2 linked regions of the Cricetulus griseus genome follow. The protein of the gene in region 1 interacts with the protein of each later gene in a biochemical or structural test. Links are inferred from orthologs where the notes say so. Each region holds a gene or a part of one and is shown on either strand. Other genes may lie near its edges.

Region 1 (5,173 bases):
AGCAGAAGAGACAAGGACAAGCACATGGAGGCAAAGCAATGCCTGCCTCTCCGTCCGCATGCACCCCTCAAACTCCTCAGGCAATCACACGCTGAAATGACAAGCAACACACTGCAGGAGACAGAAAGGAAGATTTGGGAAAGGGGCAAATTGGGTGTGTCATGTGGAAAAACTGGGTCAAGCTACACAGTGGGGCAGAGTTCACACTGAGAGACTGCATAGCTCACACTCAACTCGGGAGGAAAGCCCTAGACCAAAGGGATAATAGCCCAAAGGCTACGCTGAGGACCAACACTGGTGGGACAGCACTACTCATCCTGCCCCTCACAAAGAATATGAAGGAAAGTAAGCCTTCTTCCTTACCACCACCCCATAAAGGCACAGGAATCTGCAGCCTTACACCTCAGTGATGAGATGCAAATCTAAGTCCCTTATCCCAGTGGCCAAAGGTAACAGCTCTCTTAAATGGCCTGGGACTGTGAAGTAAATAATTTCAAATCAGAAAATGTCACATTTGCTGAGCAGTGGTAGCACACGTCTTTAATCCCAATACTCATGAGGCAGGTTCATCTCTGTGAGTTGGAGGATAGCCTAATCTACAGAGTGAGTTCCAGGACAGCCAGGGCTACAAAGAGAAGCCCTGTCTCAAGAAAAAAGAAAAGAAAAAGGCAAATTTAATTTAAAAAGCATTTCTTTGGGCTACCTCAAAATCCAGTTGGATCTAAGGAAAAGGCAGAAGTGAAAACCATGTCATAAAAAACAAAAACAGGCCTGGCCATGGTGGTGGACACCATTTAATCCCAGCACTCAGGAGGCAGAGGCAATTGTATCTCTGTGAGTTCGAGGCCAGGCTGGTCTACAAAGCAGATGCCAGGACAGCCAGGGCTGTTACATAGAAAAACCACAAAAACAAAAACAAAAAAATCAAGACCACCAGACTCCAGAATGGTAGGGAAGGACTTGCTTTTTTTAATTTAAATTTAAAATTTTTTTAAGTGAACAGGGAGTCAATAAACCAATAGGTGTCTCAACTACGGGGCTCTGAATAAGGAGACAAGAGAAGAAATCCACTTATAAGCATGACATCAACCATCACTTGAGAACAGGCACTTGGGCAAGCTGGTTATAACTTTACGGGTTTGGCCAGTCCAAGGAGCCACCCCAAAACACCGATAGTGCAAACCCTAACACACCCACACAAACACCTCACACCACTAACCCAGACCCCAAACTACTTCGGAGTGGCCGAAGCCTCTAGGAAGGAAGCCAGGATTATGTCCACTCCGGGGGAAAAGGAGTCCCCTTCCTTCACTCTGCCTCTCCTTACTCGGGTACTGCATCCTCCTAGTCCCCCCATCCCTTCCTCACTCAAAAAAATCCCAATAATCTGCCTAGCTAAAAGTTCTCTAGATCCGACAAGGAGCGAGATTCAAACTTCGCACTCCTGAAACTGCGCAGAAAACCGGTAACTGATTACAAGCTAAAAATAATCGGACAGAGAGCAACCAACCAACACTCCCACTTTCTTTTCCCGAGAACAACTGCGGGATCCCAAATGCCTGGCAGGGCTCCTACAACAGAAATCTCAACGCTCCCCACCGTGTCACCAGTCTCCAGGAGTCCCAGCCACCTGCATTCCTAAGAACCTGCACAAGGTAAATGCCTGCTAGCCCAGAGAGCTCCCTCAACTGGGAACTGCGGAGTATTCCAGACAGCCTTGAGTACAGCCAGCTTACATCTGGGTCCGCGGTGGCCAGGAGGCGCATGGCTCCCCCCTCCCAAGACACAAGAGCTCCGCAGAAGAGAACCACTCCCTTCGGATGCCCTCCGCCCTGGGCTCTGCAGGCAGGAGACAAGCGCACACCCAGCCTCACTCCAGTCTCCAGGAAAGATCAAACACTTCCTGCCCTGGGCGCTCTGGGAAGACGTTACCTGGATGGGGTGGGGGCAGGCTGTTGTTCAGAAGTGCATCCATATCCTCCTCCTCACTGCCCGCTGAGCAGGGGGACGGGGAGCCCAGGCCCGACGCCATCCCCTTCCGCTCCCCGGCCAGGGAATTGGCCCAGCTGCTCCTGCCTGCGGCCTGGGGCCCTCTACACTGGCCCGAGTCACTGTGCGGGGGAGGGGGGAGAACAGTGAGTGACGCGCAGTCCCCCTCCCCCACTCGCTCTTTCCGCCCCCCCCTCCCCGGCCCTGCCACCCCAGCCGAGCACCCGAAGCACTCAGGCTGAACTTAGTTCCACACTCCTCGGGGACCGCCCGCCCGCGAGCCGGCTCCCCGGCAGGAGCCCCCACGAAGAGGGAGCGATGCCCCCGAGGTCAGGCTGGTGCACGGTGGGGTGGGGACTCGCTGGGCGAGAGTGAACCGGGGGAGCCTGAGGAGGGGGTCCGAGTGGCGGGCGAGGCGCGGAGGGGTCAGGGAGGCGGCCGGTGCTCGGGGACACAAGGTCACTTGGGAGTGGGGGGGGCGCCTCTCTGAGCCCGGGGAGGGGCCAGTCCCCAGACAGGGCAGCTCTCCAAAGGCTGTCCCTCTGGGACAACTCGGGTTCTCTTCCGGAACGGCGGGGACCAGGGGGCGTGGAGGCTCGGGCGCTCCAGGGTCCCGAGGAGTCGGGACGCCGGCGGAGACGAGCTCCCACCGAGAAGGGGGCCGGGCCACGTGTCCCGGGGGGCCAGCGAGCAAAGGGCGAGGGGCGGGCGCCCGGCATTGTGGGAGGCCGAGCCCCGGAGAGGGGCGCGGGGAGCACGACTCCCTCAGGGCAGGGCGACGGCCTGGGGGCAACCCGGACGCCTCAGGGGAGGAGGAACAGGGTCGGCTCCCCGGCCCGGGAACGGCCCGCCGGCCCCGGGACGCCTGAGGAGGAAGGGACAGGTGAAGCGATACCCCTCAAGATGATGTCGGGCTGTGAGAGACGTCTCTCCCGGAGCCTCGCGCTCCCCTCACCCTAGAGCCGCCTCAGGTCGCGCTGGGTCTCGCCGGTGTCACTCCCGCTCCGGCTCCTCCTCACCGCGGCCGAAGGGGGGAAAATGGCTCCGGCTCCGGCGTCGCCTCTTAAAGGGCCCGAAACACCGGCCGGGAAATCCCACCGCACAGGCCCCGCCCCCCCACGGACAGCCCATAATAACCTCAACCAACTCCAACCCCCCCTCCACTACCGCCACCCTCCTCCCTAGGTCTCCCGGGCAACCCCCGCCCCCTCGTCGCTCAGGCAACCATTGGCCACGCCCCCGTCGAGCGCGCGCGCGCGTCACCCGGGCAACCGCCCACCTCCTGGCCATCCCATAATACACACGGACACCCCACATACACACACCCCGCCCCCAACACTCCATGCATATATGTGCCCGGGGGCTACTGACATATACTGCAGACCTTTACAAACTAAACCTGCTCCCCACCTCAGATATCCCATAATAACCACTCTTTGCCAACTTCTTCACTCTTGGCTCTACTGCTAACATCCCATAATAACTCGTTACCCCTCCCTCCCCTTGGCCATCCCATAATAAGCACCCCTCCCATCACTTCAGCCTCATATCCCATAATACTCAACCCCATCCCCCACTGACATCCCATAATAACCACCCTTCATCCACCCCCAGTTTGATATCCCATGATTGTCAGAAACTCACCCACCCCACACTACAACGGACACTCGGCCTCCTCCCACACACATCCCGTAATAATCAGTCTCCCACTTTCTACACTGATATCCCATAATAGCCAACCCCCTAGAGCTGCCCTCAGTCCCCGCACACCAGGGTGTTCAGGGTGTTCTAGATGTTCACATCACCACCCCCAGCCTTCCTGGTCTTTCTAGCTCCAAGGCCCATAAATTACGTTCCTCCCTATCAAAGAGATACTCACTAATGACCAGCAGCAGCTCTACTGTCACCCCACAAATGGACAGACGTCTAAATCTCCTGTCCCCTAACACTGGGGCAATGTCCCATCATTTACTCCATCTATTTGGACAGCCCATGACACCATAATACGGCCAACACAACCGAGTGCCACGTCCAGTAATACTTGTGCTGCACTCCACCACCTCACACAGGTCTTCTGGCCGGACATCCCATAATAGTCACAACCTCCCCCATCTCTAGAAGCTGTCAGTCTCTTCCAAACACCCAAGAGCAGAGAGGGTGTGGCAAACTACTAACTGCCCTGTCCCCGCCCCCATTAGCACACACCTTATTCCCTTTCTGCCCGAAAGGAGTAAGTACTCTGGTCAGAAGCCTCTCAATGTTCAGGACCTTGGGCTCCCTAGCTCACCGTTTCCAGACACTCAGGAACAGAGAGCCAACCTACAGCCCCATCCAATCCAATCAAAATCCAGGTATATCCCAGATGCTTACCTCCCACTCTGAAAGTTTGTGTAAAACCAAACAAATAATATATTACTAGATGAAAAACTTGCATGAACTTTAACTGACCCAGAACATCCCATACTAATTATAAACCCCCATCCAAAAACTATTTCTCAACATTCCAGCAGTCCTCTCCACTGCCTCTCTCAAGTCCAGGCCGCCCCTATGGCTATCCCATCATCACCACATGAACTGAAGACCCCCTGTAATGCCTTGCTCGCTGGCTCTCTGCTCCCCTTTACTCGTGTTCATTACACATCCCTTTGACAGAGAACCTAGCAAGGTACAGAGAGCTGGCACAAAAACTAAGAAGGCAAAGAAAGAAAGATACAGGTGCCTTCCCACAAGAAACATAAACAGCTGGGAATGGTGCCATATGCCTGTAATCCCAGCACTCAGAAGGCAAGATGATCAAGAGTTTAAGGCCATCCTTTGCTACTTAGTGAATTCAAGGCCAGCCTGGGCTTCAGTAGAATCAAGTCTCAAATAAATAAACATTATTATCAGCACCCATGCTCTAACCAACCAGGCTAACAGGGCACCAATAAATAATTTTAAAAGAAGAAGTAAACCACCAAAGAAACCATGATATAATATAAAAATAGCTGGTCAAAGAATTACTGCTGACCACTACTTCCCAATGTCCTGCCATACAGAACTGAACAAATCCTAACTGCTCTCAGGAGAGATCTGGGGAGGTGGTTCCTCCAGGGCAGTGGTTCTCAACCTTCCTAATGCTGTGACCCTTTAATACAGTTCTTTGTGTTGTGGTAACAACCCCCCAGCCATAAAATTATTTTCG
Region 2 (5,196 bases), on another chromosome or scaffold:
GTTGATAAGTGCACTGCTGCTCTTGCAGAGGACCAAGTTTGGTTCCCAGCACCCACACGGCAGCTCACAACCATCAGTAACTCCAATTCCAGGAGATCTGTTGCTCTCTTCTAGTCATATGGGCACTGCATACACACAATGCACACCCACACATGTACACAAAAAACACACACATAAAAACATTTTTTTTTGATTTCAAACTCAACTGTGCCTACCTTCCCCCTTTTTGTGTCAAACCCAGTTAACTGTTCAAACTTAAGAGTGTACTCATTCTCAGTTCACAAGGTTCCCTGAAGGAAAAATGACAAGGATACTAGCTAACACTGTATTTCATTTACTAGAATGAACAAAATCACATTTGCAAACCGCAAACATATACTCAAACCTTATTATTTACTTAAGAATGAGATTAACTGGCACACTTCCCAGCACCCTCATGCGGTTCACATCTGTCTGTAACTCCAGTTCCAGGGGATCTGGCATCCTCACAGACATACATAAAGGCAAAATCCCAAATGTACATTAAAAAAAAAAAAATCATCTTAAAAACAACCTACTACCAAACAGGAGAATATAGGACAAAACTACAAGTCTAACAAATACAAATACAGTATTTCAAGATCACTAACAATTCTATTTGTATTTAATAATGGATTCTGTAAATACTAAAGATATATAAATACATAAAATGTGAATCCAGTGCAGTCTCTCAGGGCAATACTGGCACCAAGGTGCCTCCTTTTCACACAGAAAAAGTTACCTTGTGGCAACCATCTAACAAAGAAAAAAAAAATCTTCAAGCACTAAATGGTAAACTATATATCATACACATCCATTTGGCATCCCATAAATTTATCTTGGCATGTCTATGTAAGATGTTTGTAATAGTAGGATAAAGTATCCACAGGTATCAACACCCATTGTCAATCTTCCCAAGCAAGAACAAGTGCAGGAACTCCTACCAGGCTAATCTTGATCTCTATCAATGACCCATTGCCCCCAACTCCCTTTAACCAAGTTAAGAAATTAAGGCTCTTAGAAGCTTAGCAAGTCTTGAGTTTACTTAAAACTTTATGCCCAACAGTACAGACTGCAAATGACTATAACACCATCAACTTTAAAATTCTCTCTATTAAAAGAGTCACATTTCTAACATGTTCAGAATTCTACTACTGCAACCAACTCTAACTGGTTCCTTGAGGAATATGGCTAAGCTGAAATTTTGGAAGGGTACATTTTGGTGGTGACCAAGGAGGAAGTATCTGGCTTCCCTGATGCTTCAGCACCCACCCTCCAAAATGATATACCCACCGGTGTGAATTGACAATGTAGTCCAAAGAGCAAGGCAGGGAACGGAGTCCAGATCCTCAAAATGGCAGTACAGGGAATAACCACTAGGCCACCTATCAGCTCAGTACAAAAAGTGCAACCCTGTGCATCACGGTGTAAAAGCTGGGGCCTAGGTTTCGTACTGTGCATCTCACACCTATGGAAATAACAACAGGAGTAAAATCTACGGAAATCCACACACCCTAAGAAAGTGGTGCACACCAAGCCTGGTGTCAACACTTGCAAAGGCAGTTGGCTACCGACAGAACACACTGCTGGAAGACTGAAGTTGGAAGGCAACAAAAATTTGCAATCAACTCTATTAAGTTTGACAATGAAGAACTCAATAAGGATCTGATGTTTACCAACAAAGCCTTGCAAATCATGACACCCATTTCTCATGGCTATGAAAATCACCACCCCATAAAAACCTCTTAAAAAAATGACTTTTCACTCTCAAAAGAGCTGGAGAGATTTGGACTGACCAGTGATACCCCAAGCCCATTACTTTCAGATTTAAAACACCCCCTTTACCATCTGGCCTAGGAAAGAGATGTTGACGCATCCAAACCTGAAGGTTGAGAAAGGGAACCTATGACCTAAGGATGTGCATGAAGGTGACTGATCAGCAACCAAAGTCTGAGGGTGAACAGTTTGGAACAAGTAAAAACTTTCCAAACGATGATGTGGCTTTCTTAAATAAAAATCTCTCTGTAGGCTCACTTCATCCTTCGCCATGTTGCTGTCAGCTCAACTAAGTGCAAGTCTTGCTGGACCCATTTTCGATTGGTCTGTAGAAGGCGCTGTTAAGCACATCCTGTTCCAGTTCTGGGGCCCTTCCCCCCTCTGCAGCCTTACCCAGTGCAGAGAATGCGCCCCCTACTGACTCCAACACTCATTGCCTTTAACCGAGTTGGCTGCGGTGCATTTTGGGTGGGGGCTGGTATTTTCTTCATGGCCATAAACCAGAAGCAACAATGCAGATTTATAAAGAAACTGCACAAAGCTATCCAAGAGACAGGCCCCCCCCCCATCCTGAAGGTTCAAGACACAGGCACAAGAAGCATCAGGGATGGGAACTGGGCGTTTGGGGTTGGACAGTATTAAAATGGCTAACACAGGAAACAGTTTGGTTCTTTTTCCCTCCTAAGCCTTTGTCTGTGAAATGGGGTTATGACAAGAACTGTCCAGAGGAACTGGTTGGTGACTGAAGAACACTGAGAAGACACTTGCGGTGTGTGGCAGGGAGTGAAGCTAAAACGGGTGTTAGACTTCAAAGCCCGATCTTGGACACAAGAGGAAGAGAAGCAATCGCGCCTTTTCTACCAGACAGGCATCCAGGTGGTGGGGTGGGGTGGGTGGGTGGCTGAGGACGAGGACAGGCAGCCCAGAGGAAAGAAGAGGTGAATGAGAGGGTGCTCACAACTACTCCCCATTCATTGCATTCGACAAAAAGCTTTTCGCGGCTTTCTGGATTTCCATTTTCTGACTGCAAAGTTGAGTATCAGAAAGCTCTAAAGGGTAGTGCTGAGCAGGCAGCCGGGAGCGAGAGCCGGGCTGGCGAAGGGCTGGCTGTGCTTGTTGGGATGGGAGGGAAGCAGGCATGTTGTCGGGGTGGCAAAGACTTTCCCTCCGTGCCATGCACTCCCCGCCCCCCAGGCCGCTCCCCTCCCCCGCAGCCTAGGGTGGGCAGACCTGGCAGAAGGCTGGTTCCGGGGACCGAGGGCGGGCGTGGGGGGAGGGGGCGAGGGATGAGTTTGGGGGCCGAGAGAGCGGGGTCCTGTTGGGGGCGGGGTGGGTGCGGGAAGATGCCACCAGCCTGCCGGCCGGCCGGCGGGCTCTCGGGGCGGAGAGGGGTCGGGCTGCAGGAGGTGGAGGGCAGAGGCCGGTGGAGGGCAGTGTGCGCGCGGAGCACGAGGACCGCGCCCGGGACCGGAGGCCGGCAGGGCCGGGCCGGGCCGGGCAGGGCAGGGCCGCGGGCTTACCTTGGCTCGGCCTCGAGGCGTGCGCGGGGCCGGCGTGCTCCGAGGCCCGGCGGCGAGCGGGCGGCGGCACGGCGATGGCGGCGAGGACGCGCCCGGGGCCTCGTCGCGCTCGGGCTCCGGCTCCGGCTCGAGCCGCGGCCGCGGCTGCTGCCGGGGGCGCGGCGGGCGCAGCAGAGCGGCGGGCGGCGGCGCGGGCAGTGCAGACAAAGGAGGGGCGGAGGGCGGCGGAGGGCGTGGGGCCGCGGCTTCACCGTCGCGGGCCGGCGGGCGGCACAGCCGCGCGGCTCCTCGGCGGCGGGGACCGAGAGAGGGAGCTGTGTCTGAGGAGACGCCAAATCCCCCCGAGCGCGGCGCGGCGGCGGCGCGGAGGGGGAGGGGGCCAAGATGGCGGCGGCCGGGGGCGGGCGCTCAGCTCATGGTCCCGGCGGCGGCGGCGGGTGGACGGGCCGGCGGCGCGGCGGCGGCGGGCGGGGGAGGGGGCTGGTCCCGCGTCTCCCCTCAGCAGACAATACAAGCGCCTCAGAGCGAGTCCCCGAACCTGCCCTAGCCAAAATGGCGGCCGAGAAAGAGCGGAAGTGACGTAAGCCCCTCATTAGCATAAGAGGACTCATTGTCCAGCTCCTGGGGGGGCGGGGGGCCAGGCCCCCTGCACCGGGACCCTCGGGGGACCGCTCTCCGGCCGCGCGCCGCGCCGACCCCCACTGCTCCCGCCGGAGGGTGCCTTCAGCACCCCCAACCTAGCCTGGGGAGATTATATAACCCCCACTCTGGGGAGCTCTCGCGAGAACTTGGAGGCTTCCCCATTGAGCCGCTAGGAGGCGCCGTGGATAATGGCCGCAGTGCGCTCCTGGGTGCCTTCCCTTCCCTTCCCTTCCCTTCCCCTGGCCGCAGCGCCGCCGGCGGAGGCACAAGCAGCGGGCCGCAGCACGCTCCGACAATCAGTCAGGTGGCTGTGCTGGGGATCCCTGCGCGGGCCCATCTGGGCCTGGACTACATCTGGAGGGAGGGTGCGCGGGCGGCCCCGAGGCTCCACGTGCTCACAGAGCGTGCTCTCACAGGCTGAGAGGCAAGGCGGAGGGCTGAGCCTGATGCCTCCAGCCTGAAGTGAGGTGTGATGCCCTCGTGCTTCACACATTCTCTTGAGATGACATGGCTCTGGGGCCATGTCAGCTCTTCTAGTGGGTTGCTGTGGGATAACAGGTGGACAAGGGCTCAGCTTTACAGTTCTGCTGTTTCTTGGACTCAAGACATTCTTCCAAGTCATCAGATGGCCATTTCTCCTTGACTTAAATAAGAAAAAGTGGGATTTGTAGAGTTGAGGCCATCGAACTCACGATGCTGAAAGATGAAAAGTTCTGGTGGTCCCCCAATTTCAGCATGACAATACATGGACTGTTGGCTTTGTCACTTTAGATCAGCTCCAACCAACACACCATGTCAACATCAACACCCTTAGGTCCCCTTTAAATGAACAGTAGTTACCCTAGAGCATATGGAAAAGTAGCAAGTGAAGTTGTGATATATTGGCCACACCCACTTTTTAAAAAAATAGGTGATCTCTACACTTGCTTAAGTTACAAGTTTGAAAGAATCTTACAAACTATATGCAGCTCCGTGTCTAAGGGTTTGGTAGCAAGTTGAATAAACCTTCATCTGACACTATTGTTTTCTTTCTGCAGGTATTATATATTTAAAAGTGTAATCAATGCCTCAATGAAAAACAAGAGACAGAAGTTCTTTAAAAAGGGGTGGGGCAAGCCCTTTCATCAAAGGACTCAAGATATGGAGAAACAGACAACGGGAATATTAAATAGGCAAAGTAAATTCATCTCTAGTTTTCCTTAGACAAGCAGATTTCATACAGCCATAACAGCAGTGTGAA

What was found. The genes of interacting proteins can lie anywhere in the genome.
Region 2: the proteins of Chd4 (region 1) and Adnp form a complex in vitro, tested with the Homo sapiens proteins (2 studies listed by BioGRID). The link is inferred for Cricetulus griseus from reciprocal best matches to the Homo sapiens genes CHD4 and ADNP.

Annotation. Positions count from the first base shown.
Region 1 is NC_048601.1:21,330,759-21,335,931, forward strand, and holds the start of Chd4 (chromodomain-helicase-DNA-binding protein 4), read right to left. Parts: upstream 3,099-5,173; 5' UTR 2,945-3,098; intron 2,908-2,944; exon of another isoform or gene 2,885-2,907; intron 2,112-2,884; 5' UTR 2,033-2,111; coding exon 1,933-2,032; intron 1-1,932. UniProt on the Homo sapiens protein: ATP-dependent chromatin-remodeling factor that binds and distorts nucleosomal DNA. Acts as a component of the histone deacetylase NuRD complex which participates in the remodeling of chromatin.
Region 2 is NC_048599.1:11,176,478-11,181,673, reverse strand, and holds the start of Adnp (activity-dependent neuroprotector homeobox protein), read right to left. Parts: upstream 3,447-5,196; 5' UTR 3,315-3,446; intron 1,453-3,314; exon of another isoform or gene 1,312-1,452; intron 1-1,311.